Linked DNA regions of Tamandua tetradactyla. The protein of the gene in region 2 purifies or fractionates together with the protein of the main gene of each other region. This does not show direct contact. Links are inferred from orthologs where the notes say so. Each region holds a gene or a part of one and is shown on either strand. Other genes may lie near its edges.

Evidence for each region.
Region 1: the proteins of FBXL13 (region 2) and CETN2 purify together in Homo sapiens (affinity purification with mass spectrometry; 3 studies listed by BioGRID and IntAct, counting the BioPlex papers as one, with this or other methods). This does not show direct contact. The link is inferred for Tamandua tetradactyla from reciprocal best matches to the Homo sapiens genes FBXL13 and CETN2.

The regions. Positions count from the first base shown.
Region 1 is NC_135353.1:4,613,329-4,629,214, reverse strand, and holds CETN2 (centrin-2), read left to right. Parts: upstream 1-8,884; 5' UTR 8,885-9,013; coding exon 9,014-9,016; intron 9,017-9,025; exon of another isoform or gene 9,026-9,152; intron 9,153-10,274; coding exon 10,275-10,433; intron 10,434-10,774; coding exon 10,775-10,903; intron 10,904-11,853; coding exon 11,854-11,991; intron 11,992-12,388; coding exon 12,389-12,478; 3' UTR 12,479-12,963; downstream 12,964-15,886. Other genes in the region: NSDHL (sterol-4-alpha-carboxylate 3-dehydrogenase, decarboxylating), read right to left, coding at 1,911-1,982. UniProt on the Homo sapiens protein: Plays a fundamental role in microtubule organizing center structure and function. Required for centriole duplication and correct spindle formation. Has a role in regulating cytokinesis and genome stability via cooperation with CALM1 and CCP110.
Region 2 is NC_135327.1:141,332,592-141,348,758, forward strand, and holds the start of FBXL13 (F-box and leucine-rich repeat protein 13), read right to left. Parts: upstream 7,413-16,167; 5' UTR 7,322-7,412; coding exon 7,247-7,321; intron 1-7,246. Other genes in the region: ARMC10 (armadillo repeat-containing protein 10), read left to right, coding at 7,606-8,035, 12,612-12,760. UniProt on the Homo sapiens protein: Substrate-recognition component of the SCF (SKP1-CUL1-F-box protein)-type E3 ubiquitin ligase complex.

The DNA.
Region 1 (15,886 bases), on a different chromosome or scaffold from region 2:
ACATGTATTTAAATTAAGAGATAAGTTACCTTTTTAATTTCAGTTGTTTAAATTTATAACTTTTACTTCCTATAAAGTTAATCAGTGAGAAAGAGGAAAGGTTATTTTGAAGAATGCAAAACTGGAAACTGGATGATACTGGCAGTTTGATATAACCCTTAAATTCTTGATTTTCTTTTTTGTTGCCAAGTATCAATAAAATCTCAATGTACACATATAAGGCAGATGGCTCTGCTTATTTGTTGAATACCAGAAACTCACATTCACCTTCAATTACACAGAGACCCCAAAGGAGGCTCTACTCTGAGCTTTATATAAAAAATAGGGTGATGTGGAGGCCTGTTTATTATTATTTGATGTAAACACATTTTAACATGATGTGAGTACATTTCTGAAATGGTTAAAATTCACTACAAATCAAAATAAACCTTTGTAGATCTATGTGAAGTACCAACATGGGGTCTGGACCCAACAACTCTTTGAAATCCCTTCTGAGACTTGGAGGCTAGGCCTTAGGACGCTTTGCAACTGCGGCTGATGCCCTCTGGGAATGCTTCTGCGGTCATACCAGGAAGCCCAGACTAGTCTATTGGAGACTGAAGCCACATGGAGGCGACCCAAGGCACCCAGCTGACAGCCACCGGTTACTGCTAGTGACATGAGTGAAGCCACCTTGGAACACATACTCCCAGAAGATTCCCAGATATTGCAGCCGCGTGAATGAAGTGCAGAGCCAGCCGAGGGCAGCCTGAACTGCAGAATCATGAGCAAATCGATATTGTTTTAAGGCACTAGGTTTTGATGTTGTCTGTTACACAGCAATAGGTAACTGATACATCCAAAAGATGTATTGCTTATACAAAAAATACTACATTGATTGAAAATATATATACTAAATACAATTAAAAAAAGTTTATTAATTAAAAAAATAAAGAAACAAAATAAAACAACATACATAATCAGTAATTCACAATGTCATCACTTAGTTGCATATTTATCATTTCTTAAAATGATTACTGTAATTAATCATTGCAATTACAGTACAGATTAATTACAATGACAAGATGTAATTGTCATTACATCTTGAATAACAAGATGATATCTACTTGATGCATAAGAATAACCTCCAGTATAACCTCTCGGCTCTGTTCGGAATCTCTCAGCCATTGACACTTTGTCTCATTTCCCTCTTCTCCCTTTTGGTCGAGAAGGTTTTCTCAATCCCTTGATGCTGAGTCTCCGTTCATTCCAAGATGTCCCACGTTGCCAGGAAGGTCCACACCCCTGGGAGTCATGTCCCACATAGAGAGGGGTAGGGTGGTGAGACTGCTCGTTGTGTTGGCTGGAGAGAGGGGCCACATCTGAGCAACAAAAGAGGCTCTCTTGGGGGTGACTCTTAGGCCTAAATTTTAAGTAGACTTGACCTATTCTTTGCGGGGTTAAATTTCATATAAACACACCCCAAGACTGGGGGCTCTGCCTATAGCTTTGGTTGTCCACACTGTTTGTGAGAATATCAAGAATTCAACTTGGGGAAGCTGAATTTCTCCCTGTTCTCACCACTCCCCGAAGGGGGCTTTGCAGATACTTTTCCACTTACTGATCGAATCACTTTGGGATTCATCGGGGCATCACTCTGGACAAACCAGCAAAATCTCATGTCCTACCTGAGATTCCAAGTACTTACGGCGTTCAATCAAACTATCTACATAAGTTATATTAGGAAATGCACTAGTCAAAATATAAATTTTTTAACTAATAAACATTTTTTGCTGTAGTCTCACACAGAAGGTGACATTTTAAAATTAAATACAATTTTTAACGACAAGTTAAATATCCCTAGCACGTGGGTTTGTGTTTGCCCTTCCCCTTCCCTGATTTTGGTTAACATCCTCTGTGTTATTACTTACTTTTGGAATGTCTTCTGACAAATGCGTCTGTTCCACCTGGTCGCCTATTTGTTCACCAATTTCTTGGTCCATTTCTGCTCAAAATATGGTCCTGTGTGTGCTCAGCTGTGCTCCTCCTGATACTCAGAAACAGACATTTATATTGTATAAATCAATCAAAACATCATTTAGCTGTTAATATTTGGTGTGTATGCTGTCCCCCCTCTGAGTTTTCACAAATGGCTGAGTTACTGCGACAGCGTTTGGTGAACACTGTGACAGGATGCTTGCCTCGGGAAGGAGCACAGCTGGACCTGTTACACACCAAACACACATGTGGCCTAGGAACAGAATCAGAAGCTGGCTCAACAACCTCACTTGTCAATTAAAACCAAAACAACAACTTTTGTATCATGGCTCTTTTCCCATTGAACGCTCAGAATTTCCATTACTCTCTGTTTGTACTGATTGGTAGGACTGTGGCAGAGCAGTGGGAAAAAGCAGTGACCTGGGGAGCCCAAGGGCCTGAGTTCCAGTCTTGGCTCTATCATGAACTGTGCAAATCGGCTCAAATCACTTATCTTTGCTATCATTCAGTTTCCCTATCAATAACCCGTGTGCCCATGATGCTGGGGCATGGGATGAGATGGTGTTGTCCTGGCTGTTTAAGCTAAAGCCACCCTGGCTAGGCCAAGTATGGTGGGGACCAACGGGCTCACATCTGGGGATGAGGCCTGGCCACGCCTTTACAAAGGCCCTTAGGATTTGCTTCTCCCTTCAGGCATCCACTGTACTGAGCTGCAAGTGGGGAGCAGGAGTTTGACTTTTGGCTGTGTTGTGTCTTGTCCTGCATTTATACTTTCTTAGTAGTGGCCAATTTGCTTAGTCACAGGTTCCTGAAGGTTTGCCTACCCCAACCCTTCTTGGAACAAATGGGCAAGATCATGAATCCTGTAGGAACCGATTTATAGTTACATGAAGTGTCAAAAGCCAATGTGCCTTGAAATGGATGTCAGGACCCTCAAAGTCTAATGGAGCCATTTGGGGGAACATATTTCTGAAATCACAAGGGAAACCCTCAGGAAAATCTATCTCAAAACTTCACCTGTTATGGGCCTTTTTAGAATGTTTATAATGAATAAACAGTCCCCTGTAGGTGTCTGCCCACCCTATTCCTCTCTTTGGGCGAAGCAGATCCAGCCCAGGTGATGGGCTTCATTTGAGGTTAAAGTACATCAGGACCAAAGCAGCTCTGGGGCAGGGATCTGGGCCCTTGCACCAAAATCCTACAGACTGAATCTGCCATGAGTTTGGGGTCTGTCTTGCTCACAGCAATACCTCTGGTGGGAAGCCCAGCGCCTGGCACAGAGTGGGCACGTGCATGTTGGTTGGGTGAATCCATTGTGCACACACACCCACAGAGATACCCTTTCCCACTGTTCTTCACCATATGCGTGTGCGCACACATGCACACGCACGCACGCACACACACACACACACACACACTCACTCCCATCTGAGATGTAGGAGCTTCATGGAGTGAGGGGTACACAGGTCAGCTTTTTTTCCTGGTAGTACTATAGTCATAATTACCCACTGGCAGCTTCTTACTCCATTTCCCCAGATCCACAGGGAAATGAGAGGGTAGATGACATCTTGGGGGCCAGGAGAGTTCCCATATTTGGCCTCTGATCCACCAAGAGACTCTGCTGGCAGGGAGTCACCGCACAACCGTGACAAGTGGTGCCTGGGCAGCTACAGTCCTGTGCCCACTGGACCACAGGATCCCATGACACATCTAATCACGCGCAACAAGCCCACCCTCTGGGGAGTGCTGGGTCTGGAAGCCTCTACTCATGCTCATCGTCTACAAAAGACAGAAAGAAACTCACACCTCTCTTCTCAATGTAGTCAGTTCACCTGGTGAGTCTGGCTGCCTGGGATAAAATCCCAGCCCTCCTATTCCCAGCTGGAAGCATCCGAGGAGAGCCTGTGCTTTCCCATCTGTAAAACGAATGGCTCAGAGGGTCACCATGAGGACTACATACAGTTGAAAGAGAAGATGCCTGCAAAGCCCTTGGCACGGTGCCTTATATCAGGTAACACCCTATTCAAGGCAGCTAATTACCCTCCTACCCCCATTTCCTCTGCTTTCCCATGCTGCCCTCCTCTCTATTACCATGACATATAAGCTATGGCAGGTAGGGACTGTCCAGCTGCCCTGACCCAGTTTTTGAGGCAATGGCTAAAAACCACTGCTCTCCCTTCGCTAAGTCCATGCCCTGACCACTTCCCTTATGGGGCCTGAGTGCTCCTGGGCCATGCCACAACCATCTATCACAGGCCCCCAAAGCCAAGCACCTAGGGATGGTCGCTTCTTTCTGGAGTCTGCAGAATTGTTCAAACTACCCAGTCCACAGGGAGCCTGTGAACCTGAGCTAGCCCCACCTGCAGTTCCAGCTTGTGTTACCCTCTCCTGTGGGGGAACCCCATGTGGCCCATCTGGAACTGTAAGAAAGACTTCTTTTCTGCCTTTCATCCGCCAAGTGTCTTCGTGCTTCTTTCCACCATCTGAAACACCTATCACCCTATCATCACCCCAGTATCACAGAATTACAGAACACCCGCCCATGAGCACACCCTGCAGCACTTACACATTGGACAGACCGTGGGGCACATTTACAGGGAAGTGAAGTAGGTGGGCAGCCAAGTCCTCCCAGAGGCTCATTTCTGGCTGTCTAGCCAGAGACTAGCTAGTGAAGAGACAACAAAGGCTTGGTGTTCAGAGTATGTGCATGTTATTAAGTGATGGCAGAGATATGAAAAAGGAGTAAGACACATTAAGATGCATAAGCAGAGTGTGGTAGAGAGGAGTATTTCCCCTCTTACCTCAATCAAGGAAGAGCAGTACTGTCTCTAAAATATTTTCCTCTGTTCTTTCTTCCTTAATAAAAATTAAGGCTGGAGATTAGATTTCTTCACCCATGCAGCCTTAGGCTTTGCCTGAAAAGCAGGAAAAGAAATGGAGCAATAGAGAGCTTGTTTGGCATAAGTAAAGGATGACCCCAATGGAGGGGGGCGGGGGGAGAATGGCTCATTCACTTCAAATCTCTGGGCACACTTAGGGTGAGAATGCTGTCAGCATAGGGGGCCTCTTCTGTCAGCCTGACTCCAAGGTTAACACACCTTGCACTAGCCCACATGTTTCAGAAGAATTAGGTGAGAAAGAGGAAGTGAGAAGCAGAGTCTCAGTTTAGGAAAGCAGCAAGAATTACATTCTGAGGTTCAATGCAGAGCCCACCTGAACGAGGGGCTCCTCCCAAGTAGAGAGGACCCTCGGCGGGGGCTGAGGGCAAGGGCCCCAGCTGGCAGCACACACTGCCAATGGCACTGCATGGGGCTCAAGAGAAGCACCAAGAGAAACGAAAGCAGACATCCACATAACGATGCGGCCTCTGATGGTCACAACAGCCAAAAAGTGGAAGGACCCAAGTGTCATCAGTGGATGAACGCAATGAGCCACGAGGCTTGAGGCCTCTGATGAGTTGAACTTAACCACTCCCCTAATCCAGTGCTCTTTGGGGACTTACTTTCCCCAATCAGAGCTAGTTTTGATGTTCGTGCTAACCTGGTTATAGATCATGTGGGATCTGAGTGGGGAAGGTCTCCAGTGGGACTTGCCTCCCTCCTTAAGCTGGGTCTGGATACTCCAATCCCTAGACAGTTCTCAGCAAAGCTCTTACTTGACTCACAGAACTTACAAATTTGAAAAGAATCTGTCTCTGTTTTGAGACCACGTAGGCTTTATTTGGGTTTTGTTTTTATAACAGGCTGGTTTGCTAAGAACTGCTGGAGCACTGTTTTGAGCAGCACAGATCTGCGGGGGATATCATCTTTCTTTTTTGTCACCTCTAGGGAGTGAGGAGGGGACCTGGCTATCTTAGTTTGCTAGAGCGGCTTTAACAAAGTACCATAGAATTGTTGCTTTAAACAACAGAAATTTATCGTCTCATGATTCTGGAGGCCAGAGGTCCCAAATCAAGGTATCAGCAGGGAAGAATCTATTCCATCTTCTGCCTGGCTTGGAATAGGTGGCAGCCACCGGGAAACCAATCAGCATGCTGCAAGCTTTAGTGCACCCTGCTAGTTACCTCCGCCTGGAATACCACCCCTCTCATCCTCCCGGGCCCAGCTCAACTGCCACCTCTGTGAAATCTCCTCCCCGTCCCCAAGAAAGGTTAGTTGTTTCCTCAGCGCCTGGCGATGCTCCCATCAGAACACCTAGCTCACTGTCCTCTACTTTTCAAACCTACTCATCCCACTAGGCAGTGAGCCCCTTGAGGCCCAGCAGGTGCAGCATCTGCGCCACCTCCCGTGTGCTCAGGGCCAGCAGAGAGCCTGGAATAGAGCACGCAGGCAAGTGAACATCTGCTGAAATGTGTGGCTGGTCTACGAGGCTTCATCTGTAAAACTTCTTGCCTATCTCAAAGCGGCTATGAGGCTCAAACAAGCCCGGGGGGTAAAAGGGCTGCAAACTGAAAAATGCGGTTGTTGGTATGTGGACTGTGACCAGTGCCAAGCAGAACCTGCAAGACACAGAGCCTCCCCTCAGGGGCTCCCTGCCTATGGCAGGAGACAGACTTAGCAGGGGAATGAGTCAAACAGAGGGGGCTGGGTGTCCTGAAAGCCAGGCCACCGGCAGGGCTGGGAGGGATGAGGCAATGGCATAGAACCAATGTGTTCTGGTAACCGTGACAAACTGCATCATGGTGCGTGATGAGGCTGGGACCATGCAGGGGCTAAGGGGAAACCCTGTGGGGAGAAGGGGAGCCCCTGAGGGACATAAGTAGGAGTGAGTGCTTTGATCAGATATGAGCTCTGAAAAGTCCACCCTGGCCACAGGGTGGAGGTCAGGCTCTAGCCAAATTTAAGGCTCAGGGCATTCCAGGTAGAGGAAACAATAATAGCAAATCAGATAGAAGAAGTGACCTTACCTGAAGATCTGCTAAATGTCAGGCCCTCGTACATGAGTGCATTATCCCACAAAGACCCAGAAAACATTCAGCTGCTGAATGAGGCTGACATTGTTGGTCTCATGCAACAGATGAGAAGCTGAGGCTGAGAAGTCAAGGGACCCGCCTGGTACACAGATGGTCGGTCACACAGCTGGCACATGGCCAACGCAAATGTATTTGTTCCTGAGAGCCCCTGAAAGCTTAAGAGCAGGGGAGGGATGTGACCAGAGCTGGTCACTGCAGAGGCTAACCTGGAAGCACGGAGTACATTAGTTAGAGGGGTGTGAGGTGGGAAGCAGGGGGGCCACCCACTAGTAATTCAAACAAGATTTGAGTATCCAATACATGGCCCCTCATCATTCCAGGCACTAGAGTGCTAGCAGTGAACAAAACAAAGATCCCTGCCCTTGTAGAGCTTACTTTCTAGCAGAGGGGCGACCGAGTAGAGTAAGTAAAAATCGACAGCAGGTCAGAAGATGAGAGATGCTCTGGGAGAGAAAAGTAGGGCAAGGTGTGGGGGCTTGAGCTCCTCAAGGTGGTCTCACTGAGAAGATGAGAACTGAGCAAAGACCTAGAAGCAAAGGAGGCTAAGCCGGCAGCCAGGACAACTGGAGCAACAGTTCTAAGGCAGGAGGGTGGCTGGCACATTTGCAGCCCAATAAGGAAGCCAGAGTCATGTCCAGTAGTCAGCCAGGGGAGAGGAGGAGAACAATTAGGGAGATGATGGAGGGGGCCATACCGAGACCTGTACACTTGTCGAAAGGCTGAGGACGGCCTGGATCAGGAGAGAAGCAGCAAAGGTGGGAAAGAGCAAAGGAACAGTATTGCAGGGGTTAGAACTGATAGAAAACCGAGGCTAGATATGGGGGAGGCGGGAGACTCACAGAGTCACGATGACCCTGGAGTTTAGAGCCTGGGCTGGCTGCTCACAGGGCAAGAGGGGAAAGGGTAGAAGGCTGGTGAACACTTCCATTTACGGAGTAACTTGGGCTCTGTCCACTGTCTCCTCAAATCACTACCTAAAATCTAGAGGGGAAGCAGGGAAGGGCTGCGAGCCACTGAGTTCTCTGACGCTGGGCTGCCTGAGGAGGGCAGGTCCCTGGACCTCCAGCCATCTCCACTTTCGCCGCCCCATTTTAGGCCAAACCCTTGCAGGGGCTCCCATGCGTTCTCTAAGCGTGCCCCGATCTTCCAACTTCTTGGTGACACTGAACAGGATGGTGCCTCGGCCTGGAATGCTCCTCTCTGTCTGCCTTGAGTGTTGGGGTGTCCCAAAAGGGACATTTTGATGATCCTCCCCATCGTGGGCTCACATCTCTTTCACTCCCTTCAAAGTCCGTTCGCAAGGCCCCAGCTCACCTCCCTGGGTCGCTTTTAGCCATGGGAACTACTGATCCTTTCTGGGGACCTGGTTTGGGGACCGACTATTTGTCTGGGTCAGGGTAGGGTACTCTCGAAGGGACACACTCAAAGAAAGATCTTCTAAGTCCCAACCGTCCGTGCGAACCTCGGAGGCGCCGCTTGGCATGTCCCTTCTCCCGCCTGGGCCTCAGTTTCCCCGGGTATCTCTGAGCCCGGCGCCCGCAAGCCCCGACCTGGGCCGTCCCGCCCAACCTCGCGTCCCCGCCCCCTACCAGGCGCCAGCCCTACCGCCCTGCCCTCCGCCGACCCGAGGCGGCCCCCGACGGCCAGGCCGGGCCCCTTACCCACCTGCGGCAGCGCCCGACCGGCCTCAGCTCGCCCGCCGCGCGCGGAAAGAAGCCCACCCCGGGCCAGCCGCCCCTTCCTCTCCTCCCGCGTGAGCCGAGAATCGGATGAGGGCTCCTCCACCAATAGGATTGGCCCGGGGGCAGGCTCAGCCAATCGGCGCTCGCGGTGTGATCTTGACCAATGAAAACCGGTGTCGGCGGCAGGCGCACCGCCCCCTGTCCTCGACCTGGGTTTTGCCGGTTTAGCCCCACCCTCCCCTCAGCGCTACGCCACTGGGGAGCGGCGGCGGCGAGCGGCCCGCCAATGGGGAGCGGGGCCGCGCGCGCGGGGCGGTGGGAAAGGCGCCTTTTCAGTGTGTACGTCGGTTGCCCTAACAACAGCTAGTGGAGTCCGTTGGCGATGGTAGGTACCAGCAGCCGGGTCCCACCCCGCGTACCGTGGCTGAGCTGTTCCCAGGCCCCGGTTGGCGACATCGCCTCTCCTGCGCGGCTTTCGCTTTGGCGCACCCTTGGTTCCCTCCGATCTGAGTACCGGAAGGGTAGGGTAGAGACGCCGGCCTCCCCGCTGGGCCTGTGGCTTTGCTCCGCTTCCTCTCTTTCACCCACAGCCGGTCCTCACCCTCCCTCGGGTTCCCCCAGGCTCACGTAGGCTCCCCTCGGCCCCCTCGGCCCCCTCGGTTACTGTTCCTAGGTAAAGACTCGAGTTCCTCGCAGGCCCCGACCCCAGCCTCTCTCAGGCCGCCCCTGTCAGACCCTGGCCTATTGACAGCCTTGCTCTACCAAAGTTTCCGCACAGCGCTGGGGGCAGCTTTATGGTCTTGTTTGTTAACACGTATTTTAAAATGTAGATATAAAGACATTTGTGAAACTCGTTGAGCTTCATGGATAAGGCACAATTGGGCCTGCTGGGTTTACTTTTTCGACTCGATACTGTGAAAATACATCTGAACAACTTAGTAACGTTAGCAAACCATAAAGTTGGAGCATTTATAGAGGAAAGCCGGTACCTCGAGTGGGCATTGTAAGGACATTTCTAGAACTAGGATCCGATCCCCCAATTCTGTGAGAGTTGATTGTCTCTACAGTGATAGAGGTACCTCTTTTGCACACTCTCTTTTGGAATGATTTTCAATAAGGAAATCCCAAAGAACAAAGGATCCTTCTGCCACTAGAAACAATAGCAAAGAAAAAGGGTTGGGGAGGATAGAGTACATGGGACTGGGAGGTGAGGCAAAGGGATAAGGAAGGCTAACTCTTCTAAGATGCCTCTGACAGTTCTCTTCAGAGTCGGTTAACACGTGTGGAGCACTTCTATGGGCTACATACAGGGTAGGAGAGCGGGACCCCACCATGTCCTTACCCACCTTAGTGAATGCATTTTTCACAGTGGTTCGGAGGGAGGTTTTAGCTCCACTTTAGTGATGAGGCTATTGAGGTTCAGAAAAGTTCCTCAATTTCCTTCTGTCCACAAAGGTAATGACTTTGACTTAAAATCCATTGTTCTTTCCAATACATCCTGCTATCTTTCCTGCTAAGCAAAGCTTTGGAGTTGGTTAGTATAAAATATTTTAAAAGTACATATGGTTGTCTGTAGCTGTCTTATGTAAAGTATGGACTGTGTAACGTCACCTTGTGCTCATGTGTTTGTGTTCTGTCAAAAGGCCTCCAGCTTTAAGAAGGCCAACATGGCATCGACTGCCCCGCGAAAAAGGATGAGTCCTAAGCCTGAGCTCACTGAAGAGCAGAAGCAGGAAATCCGGGAGGCTTTTGATCTCTTTGATGCTGATGGAACAGGGACCATAGATGTTAAAGAACTGAAGGCAAGCTCTATCCATTCCTGCAATACTGCCTTTACTTACCCCTGCCCCTTTACTTTTTCTGTGTCATCCTTTCCGTCAACTCTCTACCCCTTTGCTCCTCTTCTCCCTCTTGCTGAGAGTAATAGGGAAGGATGCCCTGTGGTCTGTCTTCCTGTCTTTACCTCCCTCAAGGATTACTAAATAAAACTGATTGCAAATATCAATGAGATCGATGTCATAGTGTCTCTCAGTCATTTTCAGATGATTGTATCAGATGCTAATTTAATGCTCTCTAAGCTGCTGGTTTTGGTCCCACGAAGTTTAAATTTGCATATTGAGAGGGCATCCTGTTTTCATTGTAGGTGGCCATGAGGGCACTGGGCTTCGAACCCAAGAAAGAAGAGATCAAGAAGATGATATGCGAAATTGATAAAGAAGGGACAGGAAAAATGAATTTCAGTGACTTTTTGACTGTGATGACTCAGAAAATGGTAAGTTAACTAAGATAATCAGACTATTTTCCACCCATCATGCTGGATAAATTTGAATCTAGATATGGAAATTACCTCATTGAAGTAAAGCAAATAAAATTTGAAGCATTTACCTGAGAGAAGATAGTATTTTAGACTGAGAATTAGGATTATGTTCTACTTGACTTTCTTTGAGGTTTCAGAGCCACTGGAGAAGGCATTTTACGCTCTGGTACAGGTAATACTGCTGTCACTTTTTGTTGCTGTTATCTTTCTGCAGCTGCTATGTCAATGCAGTAACAAAAAGCAGTAAAACCTAGAAGCACCAGCAATATTAAAATGCCTCACATATTTACAATACAAAATGCCTCCCATTATCAGATTTCTTAGTTAAAAATTATGTCCTTCCCGGAATCAAACCCTCTTTGCCTTGTTAACTGAGTTCCATATACTTTAAAGTTCAAAATTTTTTTCTCTCCAATTTTTTCATTCTGTGCATCCTCAGCCCAAGGAAGCCCACTCAGAAGCCTGCCTAGAGCTGAGATTGCGTCAGCAGCTGTGCTTTTTCACTGCAACAGGGATTTGGTTCTTGAGCACTTCCAAGGTGGCAGTCATCCAATCCCTAGTCCCTCGGGGGTCATACTCTTAAAGGGTCCCCAAGCAAGTCTTTGAGTCTATATTTCTCAAGCATTCTTGGCTTAAGCACCAAGTGGGTGCCTCTTCCTTCTGAATTCCTAGCCAGTTAGGAAATACTTGTGGGAGTTGGAAAGGGAGCAAATATCACCTTGAATTGGATAGCCTGGCTAGACTGCCTTGGCACTGAGGCCCAAATGGGCTTCTTATCACTTGTGCCAGCCGAGATTGGGGTTATGGGATTGAAAGAGAAAGGGTAGTTGGACTGTGGCAGGCTACAGGAGAGGAGTAACTGCAATATTTCCCTGCTCATACGTTTTTATGTTTTACTTGTTAAGTCTGAGAAAGATACCAAAGAAGAAATTCTGAAAGCATTCAAGCTCTTCGACGATGATGAAACTGGGAAGATATCTTTTAAGAATCTCAAACGCGTAGCCAAGGAGCTAGGCGAGAACCTCACTGATGAGGAGCTACAGGTCTGTAATGTGTCAGGCAATGTTACGCTTTCTCTTTCCAGGAAAGCCAGTGTTCTCTTGGCCCTCTGCTGACCACTTAATTTCTCCCTTGATAATCTGACAAACCTATGAACCCTCCTCCTGGGAAAATGCACACATGTGCACTTTGACTTACAATTTTGGTTTCATTGATCCCCCTAGGCAAGGGGTTCCTCCAGCTCCTCTCTTCCAGGTGATATGAATGACAAAGTATGACTTGGCTTTTGAAGAACTTTCTAGGAACCCAGCTTTTATAAACAGCAGCCCATCTCCTATGGGCAGCCTCTGCTGTCTATTCACATAGCTTTATTAAAAGTCTATCGCTTTCTTGACTTTTAGTTTAAGATTTAATCTGACCTGAATCCTTACTGTCCTGTAGGAAATGATCGACGAAGCTGATCGAGATGGAGACGGAGAAGTCAATGAGCAAGAGTTCCTGCGAATCATGAAGAAGACCAGTCTTTATTAAAACATTTCGTCTTTTCTATAGCAAGCACATGTAACTAGATTTAAGTTCTGTCATTGTCCAAAATCTCTTTAGAGAACCAACCTCTTCCCACCTACCCCTACCCACCCCCCACCCACCTCCTGCCACTGACATCCCTATGTAACTTTGGTAACAACCCCTGTTCTGTTTAGACTTTCAAAAGTGTTCTTTGATGTTCAAGTTCTTTGTAAAATGACCTGCTGATTGTTTTCAATCTCAAAAGCAGAACTAGACTACATTAAATTAGAGCAAAGGGTCATAAAACTTCTACCCACCTGCCATTTTGCCTTGCATTGCTTCACCCTTATTGTGCATTTCCACCTATGTCCAAATACAGATCATCTCCTTAGAGAAGCACTTGTTGTACCTGTGTTGCCACACGCAGCAGATACCTCTTCCATGGTTCTGTTTTTAGTTGACACCTGAGGGTTGTTTTTCCCTTTTATAAAGCCCATTGAAATCTCTCACTGGCATCTGGGTGTTTGTTCATACTATTGCTTTTGTCTCAGAAATAAAGCCTTTCTGATTCTGAGTTGCTGTTCTCTAACGATGAGTTCTTTAGCCTTGACTACAAATTTAATCCTATCAACCATTGTGTGGAAGGTGGCCTGGCAAATATAAAATATAAAATTCCTTCCCAGCTCATAGACATAGAATGAAATAATTCTTTGCTATTTTCCTGACATGAAATGTTTCTTGCCTTGGGAACCCATCTCTTTGTAAAGCTAGTAGAATATACCTAAGCCCTAAATGATGTTCTAAAAATACTTTGGCAAAGTATAAGGCTGAAAAAGAGTCTCATTGGTAATTTATGCTTAGACAAAATATGGGGAGCCCAGGCTATTATGACAGACAGTTGCATTCAGTCAACTTCTGGAGAGTTTATTTGCTTGCAGTGTCTCTTGGAATCCTGGACTCAGTTTAGACTGAAGGACTTTGACCTTGTCCACCCCCCCTCCTGACCCTTTACAGGATTACCTGCAAGATAAATCCTGGGAGGTGATATTGAGCTCCCTGTCCCAGGGTGAGGGTAAGGAGCAAGAAGGGACGGGCAATGGAAGATAAAACAACACTGACAGCATTTCCTCTGTCTTCCACAAGGGGACAGGCAGAGAACTGGGTTTTTAAACTTCTGGATTCATCCTAACCCCTGGGGGTAAGATTGCCGGATTCAGCTAATAAAAAGAGGATGCTCAGAGAAACAGTAAATAGCTTTTTCAGTGTAAATATGTCCCATTTGAACTTTCTGTTGTTTGTTATCTGACACTCAGATTTAGGATGCCCTGCATTTAAACGGACAGGCCTACCTGGGAAGCACATTGAACATATTGTAGCATGATCCTGAGGCTTCGTCCCTGGAGACTGGCGTCCCGGAGGTCTGTCCCCCGACCCCACACCAGCCCTGATAAATCCCAAGCAGAGAAACTGGCAGGAAAGCACAGTCTAGCCTGAGACCTGGGTCCTCAAACAGGCCCCAACACTTCTTGGTTGGCCGGGCAAGCTACTCTGGACACCTCAATTCCTTGTCTGGGGGAACGAGCTGTGCTTAACTCAGAATTGATGAGGGTCAGATGAAAACTTACAGCCAGGGCTTGGCTTTGGGGTGCTCGAGAAGGAGGTGTATCAGAAATAGTTCTCACTTCTTTGTTATGATTATTGTAGAAGCTCTGTTAACAAGAAACTTGTTTTTGGTGAACTGTCCCAAAAGTCTGGGTTGGCTGCAATTCCTGGGAGGATTTGACCTTTGCTGCATTGCTGTTTTCTAATAAAAGGCATATGGTCTGATGAAAGAGCTCTCAGAAACCAGGGAAAAGTCTTGGCATTACCTCCCATTTTGCTGTTAACTGTGACTGTGGACACCTCCTTTTCTCCTCCTGCTTCATGATCCCATGAATGAAATAAAGTTTCTCAGGGACCTCTGGGGCAGTGGGAGAGTAGCGAGTAACCTGCGGGTGAAAAGCCTACAGTGTTCACTCATATCCGGGCCCAGCACCCATGTTGGGATGGGTTTGCAGCTGTCCAGTGGAGGGGATGAGAGGGAGCACGGATGTGGGGGGAGCCAGGAGGATGGAGAAGGAGAAGCCTCAGAGAACAGTTGCACTCTTGAATTGCCATCTCAGTTGCCCTTCTGTCCCTTCTCTAACTTTTCCTTGGAGCAGGGCTGAACTCGATCTACCCTATTTGTCCATCTTCTCGGAACCCCCTTATGATATCTTTTTGAGTTATTTTCTTAGTGGTTGCCCTGGAGATTACCATTAACATATATATATATATTTTTTTGCATGGGCAGGCACCGAGAACTGAACCTGGGGCCTCCGGCATGGCAGGCGAGAACTCTGCCTGCTGAGTCACCGTGGCCCGCCCTAACACTTTAACTTATAGAAGATATAGTTCTGAACAATACCATTTTAATTTCAATAATTTATATAAACTTTGCTCCTATATTGTTCTGTTTCCCCTCTTAGACTGTTATAGTCACAAATCATTTCTTTATATGTTGTGCACATATCAACTTAGTTTTATAATTATAGTATTATACAGTTGTGTTTTAAATAGGAAAAAGCAGGAGTTACAAGCAAAAAAATACACGTACACTGTCTTTTTTTTTGTTGTTGCTGCATGGTCTGGGAATTGAATCTGGGTCTCCTGCGTGGAAGGAGAGCATTCTACCACTGTGCCACCCATGCACCCCACCTCTACTGCCTTTTACATTTCCCCATGTAGCTACGTTTACCAGTATTGTTTACTTCTTCATATGACTTTGAATTACATTCTAGTCTCTTTCCATTGAAGTCTGAAGGACTTCCTTCAGTATTTTTGAAAGGAAGTTCTGATGGTTACACGTTCTCAGTTTTTGTTCATCTGGTAGTGTCTTAGTAATTTCTCATTCTTTTTTACTGGCTAGAGCATCCTTTATTTACATTCCCTTTCTCTCTCCCCTGTGAATACGGCATCCCACTGCCTTCTGGCCCCCGGGGGGGTTGCCAGGAGAACTAAGCCGCAGCTGTCAGCTGCCTTACACGGGTTCTGAGCCCTGCTCAGCACTTTTCTGCCCCGAGTGAGTTCTGATTCAGGCCAGTAGACTAGCACCCTGTCCCTCAGTGGCCCCAGACTCTTAGAAGGGACAGATACGGTACAGCTCGAACAAGGGGTGCTCTGCTCCCCGGAACCGGGTCCCGGCCCCCACTGGGACCCGGGCTGCCATCCCCAGTCCTGCTGCCCGCTGGGGAAGGGGTGGGGCCTGGGCAGGTGAGGGCCCCACTGGGCATCTCCACCGCTTCTCCCCTGCCTGGTTCTCCATTCGGTTCACTCGGTGGCTGCAAACCTGCGGCTGTTACTGAGAGCTCGGACACTGTTTCTCATCATTTATTCCGTGTGTCTGTGGAAGGG
Region 2 (16,167 bases):
TATGTCTTCCCATCCCAACCTCTCTCTAGCACATCATTCTGTGAGATTAGTTGAATTCACAATTTTGCAGTACCCTCACTACCATCTATTACTAGAATTTTCCTTTCAACACAAACAGAAACCCTACACTCACAATTTGCTAACTCCCCACTTCCTCTGACCCCATGCCTAGAAACCTGAACTCTACTTTCTGTCTCCTTGAGTTTGCATATGCTCTGATTTTTTTTTTTTTGTAGTTACCATACGGCTGAATTTAACATCCTAAATCTATGACAATCTTGCTTGCTTTAATATCAACTTAACTTCAATAGCATACATAAACAATGTTCCTATAATCTGCCCCCTATCTTTATGTAGTTCTTGACACAAGTTACATGTTTATACATCATGAGTACAAATTCACTAATTTACTATTGCATTTTACACATATGCCTTTTAGATTCAGCAAAGTAAGAAGGGGAATTATAAGGCAAAAACTGCAATAGTACTGACATTTATATTTATCCATGTCATTACCCTCACTAGGCATCTTGATTTCTTCATGCAGTTTTGACCTATTGTCTATTGTTCTTTCCTTTCAACCTGCAGAACTCTCTTTAGCATCTCTTAAGGGCCAGTCTAGTGGTGATGAACTCCCTCAGCATTTATTTATCTGAGAATGTCTTAACCCACCTTCATTTTTGAAAGATGGTTTTGCCAGATATAGAATTCTTGGTTGGCAGTTTCTTTTGCTTTCAGTATTTTATATCATCCCACTGCTTTGGTTTCCAACGACAGAACAGCTCTCAATCTTATTAAGGTTCCCATATTTTTAACATTGTTCTCAACAAGAGATGGAGTGTAATTCCCTTCTCCTTGAATATGGACTGGATTTAGTGACTCACTTCTAATGAACATAATGCAGAGGAAGTAATGTTCAGTGACTTCTGAGGTGAGGTTATAAAATGTGATAGGTTATAAAATGTGATGTTTACCTGGCTCTATCTCTTGGACACTCATTCTTGGAACCCAGCATTCATGCTGTGAGGAAGTCCATGTTATGTGGAGAGGTTATACATGGAAAAAAAAGCCCCACTAAGGTCCTAGTCAATAGCCAGCAGTTGCCAAACATGTGAATGAGGAAGTCTTTTAGATGACTTTCACCCCAGCCATTGTATGATGCACAATTGATCAAAAACCTCCTGTCAACTCCCATAACTGTGAGAAATAATAATAAAATGATTAACATTGGTTTAAGCCATTAAGTTTTGTAGTAATCCATTATGTAGCAATAGAACCCTAAACAGTGATAAACCAAGGAATCAAAGATGGGTAAAGAGAGAAGTGAGGACATGAGAAGCATAATTGGTAGTACAAAAATGATTAAACTAATGAGTTGGTAGTGGCAAAGAGCTTGAAGAAGTAATAAAATGGGAGTTCTAGAGTAAATGAGCTGAGATGGTAGGAGAGTGAGATAAGAAACAGAGATTTCAGAGATGGTACAGAAATCTGGGATAAAATCATCAAGGGTATGATAATAGGAGCAGGGAATGCAAAGATAATTAGGAAAAAAGTCAAGTATGTAGATGAAACATCCTTCTGGATGTTAAAGTCACCAAAAATGATGATAGGAATAGAAGTGAGAAGGAAGGTGGTGAGCCAGACACTAGAGTTATCAATGAAACACAAAGAGCAAACAAGAAGTAGGTAGTTAATAAAAAGAGAGTGAATGTTCTAGTTTGCAAGCTGCCAGAATGCGATATGCCAGAAAAAGAACAGCTTCTTAAAAGGGGGAATTTAATAAGTGGCAAGTTGATAGTTCTAAGCCCATAAAACTTAAAACAATTAAAGCAAGGCTATAAAAATGTCCAATCTAAGGCATCAGGGAAAGATAAGATACCTTGGTTCAAGAAGGCTGATGAAGTTCAGGGTTTCTCTCTCAACTGGAAAGACACATGGTGAACCAGGAGACGTCCAATAGCTTTCCCCCCAGGCTTCTTGTTTTATGAAGCTCCCCTGGGGGGGGTGGGTAGGGGGTGGTTCTCCTTCTTTGTCTCCAAAGGTTTCTGGCTGGGCGGGCTCTCCTGGTTCTCGTGTCTATCTCGTCATTCTGAAGCATTCTCCAAAATGCTTCCTCTTTTAAAGGTTTCCAGTAAACTAATCAAAACCCACCTGGATTGGGTGGAGTCACATCTCCCTCTAATCCAAGATTAATACCCACAATTGGGTGAGTCACATCTCTGTAGAGATAACCTAATCAAGTTTGCAGCACACTGTGATGAATAGGGATTAAAAGAAACAATGCTCCCACAAGATTGGATCAGGGTTAAAACATGGCTTTTCTAGGGTACATAATCCTTTCAAACCAACACAGTAAATGGTAAGGCTAATCTTAAAAACCTTAAGGGACCTGAGGTTTTAGGAGGAGGAGGAAAGACACATAGTTTGAAGTGGTAATGGAGAGCAAGGAGGACACCTACCCCATCTCTGGATCTGAGGTAAACTGAGAAGTGAGAAGGAAAAAAAAAGTCTCAATAGGATTTTACTTCTGAGTAGGATATGGAAAGTCACTATGGTCCAATGATTCTGTTGAAACAACTAGAAGACACCAGATACATTATGAAAACATTTTTAAAAGATATCCAAAGCTATGGAATTTAAAAGGGAGGAGAGCCTTTTGAAGTGAGTTGATGATGAAAGTTGTTTCTCCCCTGGGGCCAATTGCTGATTCTGGGTATGGGTTGAGGAATGGGTTTGGCCCAGGCTGAAGGACTCTGCAAGAGGGAAGAGAAACTAGAGAAAACATCAAGGCTTTTGGTAGCCACATAAGGCTTGTGTAACAGATTATAACTTGAGGTGTCCCACTGCAGCCAATTTCCCCATCAGACATTTGCCAAATTATGAGACTGCTCATGAAGGAAGCTGGGGAGCTAGAGCAAGGGCTTCTAAGAAGCAAAGTGAAGTATCTCATGATCTCATGGTGCTCATGGGGAGGATACCTGCTTCAAACACACAGCTAGCCTAACCTTTAATACGCTGTCAGATTTTAAAGCTAGGAAGCCAAAGAGCTAAGCACAAAAACCTCTAAAGGCCAAAACTGAATGTTCTGCAATTTCTAAGGGTAAGAAAACAGACACCTGCTAGCTTCTCCATTAGAAGCCCAGAAGAGCTATCCTCAAGAAACAGGGATAAACCAGATGTGGACTAAGACTAAATAAAATTGCAATCCAACTCCAACCAGACAGAACTGAAGTCATCACCTCTCATCATATATAGAGGAAAAAGAGAACCTTATCCGGTGAGAGATTTTATCACCTGGAGCCTCTACTATTTGCTTTTATACAATGCCCAGCAAAATTTTTTTAAAAAAACGAAAACACTAGATATGTAAAGAGGCAGGAAAATGGGATGAATAATCAAGAGAAGAAAACAAATAATAATATGTACTCCCACAGATGATCCAGATATTCAAGTTAGCAGACATGGACTTTAAAATAACAATTTAATTGTTAAAGAAAACAGAGGGAAAGATAAACAAATGGAAGAAAAGATGCAGAGTTTCAATAAGTGGGATGTATATAAAAACAGTCAAGTGGGCATTCTAGAACTGAAAAACATACTGTCTGCAATTAAGAATTCATTTAATGTGCTAAACTGTAGACTGAACACAGCATAAAACATGATTAGTACATTTGAAGATGGTCATTGGAAAATATCCCAATTTAAGCACAGAAGGGAAACAAAGGGATGGGGATGGGAACAGAACAAAGCAAAAGAGTCATGTAAGACAAAGTAAAAAATCTAAAATATTTATGCTTGGAGTCCAAGAGGGAAAGGAGAGTGAAACTTAGATAGAAGCAATATTTGAAAATGGTCAAGAATGTTCTAAAACTGATAAAAGGTATTAATCAACAGATTCAATGAGTCCAATGAACCATGCAGGATGTAAAATAAAATAAAATCACCTTCTATACAAGATATTTGTAGGGGAATGATTTGGTAAGTAGAGAGCCAGGTATTATTTAGGATAAGGAAGTGAGAGAGGTTAACTACACGAGGGGGAAGTGTGTAATGAAAAATTATGTATTCCAAGGCTTGCAGAAGATGGGTTTTAGAAGATCATGAAGCCTGGGAAATTGAGTTGGATTAAGAGATGTATGGTTATATGAGGAACAATTGGATTCATCCTGATAGTCTCTTAGGGAGGTAATTAACCACTTTAAGGTGGGTGGAGACCCAGCAGTCTGCTTTCTTGCACCTTGTCATGGTTAGGCTCATGTATCAACTTGGCCAAGTGGTGGTACCTGTTTGTCTGGTTGGGCAAGTGCTGGCCTGTCTGTTGCGATGAGGACATTTCATAGAATTAAATCATGATCATGTCAGCTACATCCATAGCTGATGCCATTTGTAATCAGCCAAAGGGGAGTATCTTCTGAAATGAGTAATGCTTAATCTGATCACTAGAAGCCTTTTTAAGGAGGATTCGGAAGAGACAGGCTCTTCCCGTCTCAGCTGGTGAACCTTTCCTGTGGAGTTCGTCCAGACCCTCTATCGGAATCGCCAGCTTCACAGCCTGCCCTTGCAGATTTTGGACTCTGCATTCCCAAGGTCACGGGAGACACTTTTATAGATTTTATATTTGCAAGTGTTCTCTGTTGATTCTGTTTCTCTAGAGAACCCTAACTAATACACACCTGTTAGTAACAATGATAGCCAGAGGTGAGTGAAAGGCTTTTTAGGAGAACAACAGCTTCGGCAACAGGAAACACTTATGGCGCCTCTGCTTTCTGATGGCAGAGCAATGTGGTAGTCTGGTAGAGGAAGAGTACTCTCACCCACAGGAGGAACTACAGACTGCCTCTTTGCAGCTTGGGTGTTATGGCAACTGGAGAAGTAGGTGAGGGGAAGCTGTCTCTTCTCTGCAGTACCCCGACCTTCAATTCAAGTCCATTTCTTCTACCTGCTCCACAGCCATACCCTGGACTGGGTCATCACTCAGAATGGCTCTAATCTGAAACTTACGTACACATGGCTCTAATCTGAAACTTAAATACACACATTCTACTTTCTGACTCCAACTTTCTATTTTTCCAGCTCCCTCACTCATTACTCCCTCTATTCCTCTTCACTCACCTCCTAGGAACCTCCAATTCTACTCATACATCAGTATCATTTCCTTCTTGTTCTCATTTCCTACTCAGTCCCCAGAGTCCTCGGCCCATCACTTTCAGCATTCTCAATAGCTTCTACAACATTACCCATTGCCTTCTATTGTATATGTATGTATATAACAACTGTTATTTCTGTACTTACATCTAGTTTAGTGAGTGCTACCTGAGAGAATCACACAACTGGGACTACAGGTACCAACACTCTCTATATATTTTCAAATATAATTGTATAGGGGTAAAACATGATTGAAACTCATTATAAAAAATTAAAACAAAACAGATGCAAGTAGAGTAAAAAGTTAGAGTTCTCCTTCATCTCCTCTCCTAAAATTGCCCCTGAAGACATCTACTGTTTACAGTTTGGCATATTTCTTTGCATATATTATTTCTATGCATGAAAATTGACTTAAATGTAGATAGTCACACATACATACACACGTAAGTACACACAAATATGAATATGGATAGTGTGTTATGTTGACAGTGCCCCCATCCCCCCCAAAAAAATTCATGTCCACCAGGAACCTCAAAATGTGACCTTATTTGGAATGAGGGTCTTTGCAGATGCAATTAAGTTGAAGTCATACTGGATTACAATGGGTCCTAGGTGCAATGACTCTTATAAGAAGAGGAGAGGACCCAGAGAGACATAAACATGTAAGGGCAGAGGCAGAGATTGAAGGAATGCAGCTGCCAGCCAACAAATGGTAAGGATTGCTGTGGGCCACAAGAAGCTAGTAAGAGGCAAAGAAGAATTCTTCCCCAGAGCCTTCAGAGGGGGCATGGACCTGCTGATACATTGTTTTGTGATTTCTAGCCTTCAGAACTGTGAGGGGATAAATATTTGTTATTTTAAGCCACCTAGTTGGTGGCAATTTGTTATGGCAATCCCAGCAAACTAATACAGACAAATATGTAGAATCATAACAGACAATTTATTGGGCAACTTGCCTTTTTATGTATTTTTTTATTTATAATATTTGTGGAGGTTTTTTTTCCAATAGGTATGCATATATTCTGCATTCTACATATTTCCTAATTTGAACATATTTACTGCTTTTCACTATGTGACAATGTTACAATGAATATGGTGGTAGAGGCCTCTTTCTGAGCACATGTGGAAATATTTCGCTAAAGTAGCTCCCTAGAAATAGAAGTGTTTGGTCAAATGGTATATACATTTAACATTTTAATAAATATTTCTAAAGAGCCATCCAAAAAGGATGGAGGCTATACCAAATTGGCCTTTTCAACTGTATATGAGTTACCTTCCTAAGCTGGTGCGGATCAGTTCTCTTTCCTTCCCTAAATCTCTCTCCCTCATTTCTCATTTTTCTCTGCTCAAACCTCCCACTGCACCCCCTCAAACAAACATATAAGTCCTTAGCAAATATCTCACCGAGTATTTGTACATTAAAAAAAGAAAGAAAGAAAAAAGCCACTGGGGAGAACTTTGTGAACTTCCTACCCATAGTCGACAAAACTCACTGAAACACCCCTATATTGTCCTCTGTTATAGTGGGGGAGAGAAATACTCCTTAACTCCTGCCTGAAGTCAATTTCGCTGTGCGGTCCTCCCCTCCACAAAAGGCTAGATAAATTTTATGTAAGCGTCTCCGCTTCCACTCTCTCCTCAGATAAACTCCATCTGTCTTTCTGCCCTCACCGCCCCACTGAAACCGCTCTCTCAAGACTCTTTTAGGTCGAATCCACGGGAACCCTTCAAGTCCTTATCTTAGGCGACAGTTACTCTCTCTCCCTCTTAAAACACTTCCTACACACTCTTCCGATTTTCCTCCTCACTCTCCGGCACTTCTTCCTCAGTAACTCCTGCCTGCTCCTCTTGTCCAAACCTTAAAAGCTGAAGTCTGGGGTTTCTGTCCTGGACCCTGTACTCTTTTTCCCTGGAGGACGTCACCCACTTCTCCCTTCAATCATCATCGCCGCTCTGTCTTCATCTTCAGTCTAGACAGCGACCTGACCAAAGCTCACCTCACCCTCTCCCGTTCCGCTTCTACCCTAGCTCCGGCTACCCCGAATCCTCCCTATCTCCCTCCTATGGTCACTCCGCGGCGGCCGCCAAACAGCTCCAGTACCTCGCAGACCTGAGGAACATAGTTCTCCTTGAAGTAGCTCCTCAGCCAGGGGTTGGCAGCGCGTAGCGAGGACATGCCCAGAGGCTGGACCGAGAAGCTGAGCTCCCCGCCGGCTCTCCACGCTGCGCGCGGTTGGCTCGGAGCTGGAACAAGGGGTTGGCGCTTCGGCACGTTGCCTTGGCAACCGCTGTGCTGGAACTGGGCGGAATCTCCAGCCCTCCCCCCACCCTCGGGGTCCAGAGCGACAGTCTGGGAGGAGGTACCCGCGCGGGGCGAGATGCGCAGGGGAGTAGCCCCAAGGGAGCCCGCCTCAGGGCCGCGGCGGCGATCCCTCGGGCGTGCTCTCTGGCGCGCAGTCAATGCTGTCTTGCACGGAACCCAGGCGCCCATTCACGCTCTCCAGCCCTGCCTGCGAAGAATTCGCAGGACCGCCGTGGGGCGCCAGGGGGAGGTTTTACGATTTGAGCTGGGCCATTTCCGGGAGGCGGAGCTCAGGCTCTCATTTCCTTTCTCTTCGATTCCGTATCTGTCGGGCAACTGAGCCCGTGTGCCGCGGAGGCCCCTGCAGCCCACCCGCACCTCAGTCCCGGCCCCGGCCACCACGAGCTTCCTGCGCGGGTTCGGCCCTGCGCCCAGGTCCCGGCGGCAGCATGGGCCGCGCCCGGGATGTGGGCTGGGTGGCGGCGGGCCTGGTTCTTGGCGCCGGCGCCTGCTACTGCATTTACAGGCTGATGCGGGGCCAGCGGCGAGGCGACCGTGGGCGGCGGTTGCGCCCCTCGCGGTCAGCAGGTGAGGCCGCCGGGCGCCTGGCCGGAGAGCGGGCTCCGGGGTTGCCCCGGGCCGGGCCGGGGTGGGGGGCAGCAGACGCCGGAGGCGCTCGTGGCTTCCCAGTTCTCGGAGTAAAATAAGGAGCCGGAGGAAGGAGGGAGGCTTGAGAGGAGGGCAAGGCTGGAAAATCCAGGGGGAGGTTGGATCGTGCGCTTAATTTGCGTGGGGGCTGGTTTCTGACTCCCTCTCCTGCCCCCACTTATTTGTTCAGAATCCTAGCATAAAACATTTGTTTAACTTCCCTCCCTTAGTGTGTCTGAAGTCTGCGGGAGAATCAATTTCTGGAAAGCGTGTTGATTGTCTGTCACTTCCCAACTGGCTCCGGGTCTTTGTGTTGCCAAAGGGTTTCCCCGGACTGTGGACAGTGTTGCGGGGACTGGAGACGTAGATGAAATTGTGCATACAGCTGCCCTGGAAGTAGGGACCCCGAGAGTGGCAGTTCTGCCTGCGCTGGGCAGGGCCTTTGTGAGAGGAGGAACTTTTAGCCACGGTGGTCCCAGATCTCACTCGTACCTTTTTAGGCCAGAAAGTCAGTTTTTATAACATTGATCAGACTCTTAAGGATCCGTTTAGCTCAAACACATTTTGAATGGTTCATTAAGTGGACAGGCTCTGGTTTGGTCAGGAGATACAATTTTATAAACCTAAATGCCAATTTATTACTTTGAAAGGAAAGATAGATGTTGCAAATTGTAACCGTTGCCTGCTTGAGGCACACTCTCCTGGCAGACAAGTGCAAAGATCAAGTTTCTAAGGTCCAAACTGGTACTTGTATTCAGGAATCTAACGGTTTGCTGAGTGTTCTCAAGATATTTCTCTCAAGTTGTGGAAGTCGTTAAGAAAATAACTAAAAATAAAACCTGCCGTCCCAGAAAATCTCCACAAATGTAGAAAAGAAGAAAACAGATACATTTTTGAGCATTAAACCAGACTACAGTGTGCATCACAGGAAATCGCTAATGAGGTTGCTAAAACAAAGAAATCTCTCCTTTTTTATTTTTATTTTTTGCATGGGCAGAAAGAAATCTCTCCCTTTTATGTAGCCAGACAGATAAAATCCATTACATAGATGTTCTTAAGATAAATAATAACTTGGTCTCAAGTAAGAGAACTTGATAGCTCTATTTACTATAGATGGTTCATCCTAAATTCACCTGGTTCTTTGAGTGGCCCTCTCTGTTAGCTAATTGCTTTAATCCAAAGGAAAAATAAATTTCTTTCTGACAAGCAGGTTCTGTAGTTACAACTTGGAGCTAGGCTAGCATAGAGCTAAACAACCACAGTGACCACTAGTGAGATTGGGGCTCTGTCTTCTTGACTTTTACATTTCTAGAGACATGGACCCAAAGCCTTTAAGAAAGACATTCCTGGTTTATAAAATTGCCTAGAAGTTTATTTAGCTTTTAAAAAGATTTACATAAATTTCAAAGGGGCAGAGAAGATTTGCTGTTACTAATTTTCTCAAGGGAAATGCTCAAGAAAGGGAAAGGAGAAGGTCTCCCTTTAGACACTAGAAAAAAGACAATTATTTTTTAGATTTATATTTACTCTTACAAAGCCTAATTTGTTGACTTTGTCTCTGTTGGAGGTATTTTTGTATAGGTAATTGGGCAGGTGGCTTGGACCTGCATACCTTCTCATGTAAAACCAACATGATGAACACTAATAAAGTCTTCCTTTTAAACCTAATTTTACTAATCCCTCAAATCACCATTATTTGAGGTCAAGCAGTTTTCAAAATAAGTTGCTAACAGTGTCTTTCTCAAAGTTGTAGTCCAATTCCTTCCTCCTGAAGCTACCTTTATTTTTGAAGAAACTTGAAAATGCCTGCTTTGTCAGCATCACCCTTCAGTTTCAGAGGATGAGATTTTCTTTGTCTTAAACCTTAAGAAATATGTAACTTCTATACTGTTAATACTATTTCAGGGCACTGAAAAAGATGGAAACAGTCCCAGTTCATTCAACAATCTGAATCTAAAACCTGACAAGGGTAACATGAAGAAACTATGAATTTGTCTCAATTATGAATGAAGATACAAAATCTAAAAATATTAGCAAATCAAATCCATTAGAGGATTAAAATAACAATGTACCATGGCCGAAAAGATAGGAAAGGAAGGTTCATATTGGGATATATATTAACATACTTTATTGCATTAAAAAAAAACAACATAATGTCATACTAAAAAGGTATATATGCATCATTTCAGTTCAGGAGGTGGTGAACCCCTGAGCCTCAGATTCTTTCATAATCTTATTGATACAAAACTAGATGGAGAAGTAGGGCATACAAATGTTTGACTACCTAAACTATATAATAGCGGTTCAAAAACTCGCTAATAAAATACCTAGATATAGAGTAATAGCCATCCTCTCAAGTTTTTGGTTTTACGCATATTTATTTTCCTTACTGAAAAAATAATGCATTTTTAATTAATTCAGGCAGCATATCAGTTGAGGTTTCTTAAAAATTAAAATAGATGCTTATTTTAACAGTTTAAGAGGCATGGGGTTGGGGGCAAGTAATAGACTAGAAATAGAAAGTTCTGGTTTCTAGAGCCAGTTTTATTAACCAGCTGCCTATCCTATTAATAATGATATCTAAAATATACCAAGCACTCATGGTGTTCTAGGCACAAAAATGCTTTGAAGCAGCATTAGTTTTCATCTAGTAGATGAGGAAGTAGGCTTGGAGAATTTAAGTTTTTCAGTGTAGTAGCTTAACTGGAATTTGAAGTACATAGTCTGGCTCCATAGTTCTGGCTGATTGTTCTCCTCCCAGTGGAAATTCTGTGATTTTGCCACTTTAGCCTATGTATATATGGCTGTTTATAAATAGTTTAACTATTAAACTAAAAAAAGGGGGATTACAAGGAAGTAATAGGATTTAAAAATAAACATTAATACATAATTACTTAAAAGAAGAATTTGAATGAGTTAAATTGATATTTCTACCATGTGTGCACATGCATGTGTCTATAAAATCACACAACTTCAGAGCTATATAGGAGCCTCAGAAACCAGTTATAGTCTTAGAGACCATCCCGTTTATTTTACAGATGAGAAAACAGAGTCAGAGAGGTTAAGTGACTTGCCTACAATTTTGAATTTTCATTTCTCTGGTGTCTGCTACTAACTACCTATGTGACTGTAGGCAAATCCTTAAGTGATATTGGCTCCAGTTTCCCCATGAGTAAAATGAGTAGGTAGGGTGAATTCTCAAATTCTTTCCATTCCAAAAAATTTGTCTTTCTTTCATTTATCTTTTTTTGTATTCTTTGAGTGAAACTCTATTTTATAAGATGTATATAAGATATGTAATAGATTCAGAAGTAAAAACCAAGTTCAGGAGTCCTACAGGCTTTTTAGCTTTTAGATTTTCCTAATAGAATTACTGATTTGGCTACCTCAGGACATCATATCACTTATTGTGTCCCTGTAATCTTAGTTTGCCCCATCCCCTCATATTTTTTTTCTGATTACTCTTTAACCAATACACTTAATTATTTTAATGACAGGTATAATATATATTTTTTGTAAAATAAAAACAAAAAATGAGAAAGTACTCATAAGCACAGGATAGAAAATGAAAAGTCAGTCATAATCTCAGTCTCCAAAAATAACCATCTTTACCAGTTTGGTATGTAATTTTTTTTCCCCCAGGGGTAGGCACCGGGAATCAAACCCAGGTTTCTGGCATGGCAGGCAACAACTCTGCCACTGAGCCACCGTTGCCTGCCCTGGTAGGTACTTTTAAAAGAACAAGCACAGATGAGAATCTTTCAGCACCTCGTGTTGTATGGCTTTGCTTCCCAAGTCCCCAGACCCCATACGTGGCAGTGTATTGTGGAAACATGCATAGTTTGACCTTTACTCTTATAGTTTCATTTCTAAGGAATCTCTTTCTAAGCTTGTAACACAAGAATAATGTTATAAAAATTGCTTTGGTTTTTTCCTGTAGTGATTTCTGTAAAGAGTTTTTGTTTTGTTTCTAAGCAGACCCTACATTCGACTACATTAGCCTTTACGCAGATTGATGACCTGTGTCATCACCAATAGCAGGACTGTCATTTTAGCATCCCTTGTTCGGACAGCCATGCAAATACTCCACACAAGCCACATAATTGGGCTACCTCCCTTAGCTTTTTCTGTTGTCTGAGGTCCTTTTAAAATTATGAACAGAAAAGATCTGTTTAATGCAAATCCTGTTCCTTAATTTCTTCTGTTTCTTCTTTTAAAGTCAGGTGCGCTCATCCAATGGGACACTTGCCCATTGGGTGTATGTTATCTGCATGTCATCATCTTGCTAACAGAGAAATACCAAGTGGCCATTGATTCGTTTCTTAACATTTATAAGTCTTAGTTTCCCATCCTTAAGATGAATAATGGTGTTTTCTTCCTAGGGTCATTTAAGGATTAAATAAGATAGCATGTAAAGTGCTTGAATAGTGCATCAGAGTATGTGTCTGATGTTGTTTTTAAAATCAGAAATCTCATTGCTTTTAGATGATCTTCAAATAACTTTCTTTTTATACAGAAGACTTAACAGATGGTTCATGTGATGATGTCTTAAATGCTGAACAACTTCAGAAACTTCTTTACCTGCTTGAGTCAACTGAGGATCCAGTAATTATTGAAAAAGCTTTGGTCACTCTGGGTAACAATGCAGCCTTTTCAGCTAACCAAGTAAGTTTCCTAGTCTTAGCAAACAGTTCCTTCCATTTTTAGGCGAGATGTAATTTGTGACTGTGGGTAAGTAAGTTAACCTCTCAGAGCCTCAGTTTTCTCATCTGTCCAATGTAGTTGCTGATACCTACAGCAAAATGTTTGTTTCTGAACAGTACAGCCTAATGGTAATATTGTAAATTAATATGATTCTAGAGTTTTATGAAATTGGTCACTGACACCACATTCATAATCAGTGTATCTAATCAACATTTAGCATTACATGGCCATTTAACTCCTTTAAAATTCAGCAGTGCTTCATTAGAACAATGAAAGCATCTATTATTTAGCTACATGCTTTAAATAGTATGTAGAACTTAAGAATATGTTTAGTTTATGCTGAAATGGCATACAGGTTGAAGATACCGTTATGTTTGTACTTGTTTGCACGTGCATGTGTATTTATCAATCAAGGAAACTATAGTATCTAGTATTTTCTGATAGTTTTTAAATATGCTTTAAAGTTCCCCACTAGTGATAACCAAACTTTACTGTATGCATAAGAATCCTAACAGCTAGGAACTTGTTAAAATTACACTTACCTGGGATCCTTTCCAAAAGTTTGTAGTTGAAAAGGTAAGGCCTACGAGCCCTCAGTCTTGGGGTTTGTTCATATGAGACTTATCCCCACAAAGGATAGGCTGAGCCTACTTAAAATTAGGTCTAAGAGTCACCCCCAGAGAACCTCTTTCGTTGCTCAGATGTGGCCTATCTTTCTCTCAACCAACATGGCAGGCAGACTCACTGTCCTCCCCCTCGGTACGTGCGACATGATTCTCAGGGGTGTAAACCTCCCTGGCAACATGGGACAGAAATCCTAGAATGAGCTGGGACTCAGGCCTCAAGGGATTGAGAAAACCTTCTTGACTGAAAGGGGAAAGAGAGAAATGAGACAAAATAAAGTGTCAGTAGTTGAGAGATTTCGAATAGAGTTGAGAGGTTATAAAGTAGGTTATTCTCATGCATTATATAGAGATCCCCTTTTTAGTTTAAGGTGTATTAGAGAGCCTAGAGGGAAGTGCCTGAAACTGTAGATCTGTGCTCCAGTAGCCATATTTCTTGAAGGTGATTGTATAATGATACAGCTTACGCAACGCGACTGGTTGTGAAAACCTTGTGTCTGATGCTCCTTTTATCTACAGTATGGACAGATGAGTTAAAAATATGGGTTAAAAATAAATAAATAATAAGGGGAACTAATGCTAAAACACATTGAGTAGATTGAAATACTAGCGATCAATGAAAAGGAATGGTGAGTGGTATAGGAAAAAAATAGGGGGGACAAAGGTTAAAATATATTGGGTAGATGGAAATACTAGTGGTCAATGGGAGGGAGGGGTAAGGGGTATGGTATGTATGAGGTTTTTCTTTTTCTGGAGTGATACAAATGTTCTAAAAGATGATCATGGTGACAAATATACTACTATGTGATGATATGTGAGCCATTTGTACACCGTGAATGGAATGTTTGTATGTTAAGAATGTTCATGTTTCTATGTTGTTTTGGCTTGTCAATTAAAAAAAAATTAAATTAAAAAAAAAGGCAAGGCCTGGGGATCTGCATTTTTAATAAGCGCTTGGGTAATTCTGATACAGGTAGTCCCCAGACCACACTTTAACAACACTAGTCAATGTAAATGGCTTCTACCAAGCAAACACTGGTGCCAAGACTAAAGAATTTAATTTGAATGCTTCCTTCTTTTTTATCCCCCCTGTACAGAGAAAGAGTTAAAACATTTGGTGTTTGTTTTGGTTTGTTGTAATGCCTTTGGTTAGCATCATCATAAATGCAAAACTATTTTGAATTTATGTTTTATTTCAGTCCATTTTCTCCAGCAAGACAGGTTTTACTGTAAAATCTCTAAAGGTTTATAGAAGGATGCAGAGAATATTTGTATTATTCACACTCTTTCAGTTGCAAGTGACAGAACCCAATTAAATTTACTTTAAGACAAAAAGGGAAACTATTGGACTCAGTTTACTTGGACATCCCAGAATAGCATTTATTTCAAACACAATTGAATCAAATTAAGGGTGGCAGAAAAGTTATCAAAGTGCTTTCTCTCCCTTTCTCTCCACCTTTTGTTTTTGTATGTCCCTGCTTCTTTTTTTTTTTTTTTTTTTAACATTTTCATTGTGAAATATAACATATATACAAAAAAAGCAATAAATTCCAAAGTGCATTGTAACAAATAGTTTTTTAGAACAGATGTCAGAATTTGTTATGGCTTACAGTTCCAAAATTTCAAGTTTTTCCTTCAGGCTGCTCCAAGACACTGAAGACTAGAAGAATTATCAATATAATGATTCACTAGTTATACCCATTTTTTAAATCTTGTCTTCTCTAACTCCTCCGTCTCCTTTGATCCTTCTCCCAATCTTATGCTATGCCCACTTTAACTTTTTCTTGTTGGAAAGGGTGTCAATAATATGGGATAAGGCGATGGAATTAGTTGATGTTCTTGGAGAGGCTATCCCCTCTGGATTTCAGGGCTTATCTGGCTTAGGAACCCATCTGAAGGTTGTAGGTTTCTGGAAAGTAAATCTTAGTATGTGAAATTTGTGTAGGTTAAATAAATTTCAGATAAAGCCCTAGGTGTTCTTTGGGGTTGACAGGAATGGTTTTGGTTAGGGTTTTGCAAACCGTGGTAACTAGCAATATCTAGCTGAAGCTAGCGTTAAGAGTAACCTCCAGATTAGCCTCTTGACTCCATTTGAACTCTCTTAGCTACTGATAACCTCATTTTGTTACATTTCTTTTTCCCCTTTTGGTCAGGAAGGCATTGTTGATCTTACAGTGCCAGTGCCAGGGCCAGGCCCATCCCCAAGAGTCACATTGCTCATTGCCAGGGAGACTTTCACCCCTGGATGTCATGCCCCACATAAGAGGACAGGTAATGATTTTACTTGCAGAGTTGGGCTTAGAGAGGCCACATCTGAACAACAAAAGAGGTTTTCCAGAAGGAACTCCAAGGCATAACTACAGGTAGATTTAGCTTCTCTGCTACAGAAATAGGCTTCACAAGAACAAGCCTCAAGATCAAGGGCTTGGCCCATTGAGTTGGGAGTCCTTACTGTTTGAGACAGTTCCATCCTTCAACGGAGTGTGTTAATGCTTTTAAATTATCTGCTCAACATACTCTGGAATGTATCTGAGTATTACATTAAGCTATAAGAATTGCAAGACCTCATTCCTAATTTTAGGCTCCTTGTGTTTTGGTTGTTTAACTGAACTGGCCAGACAGGTTAAGTTAGCTTGTGTGCTACAGAAAATTTAGGTTTTGGACAAAATAAGCCTCTCTTCCTTTGGTTTCGTACAGTAGGTGAAGTTCTAAGATACAGACGATATCATCCTTTTACCCTGTATG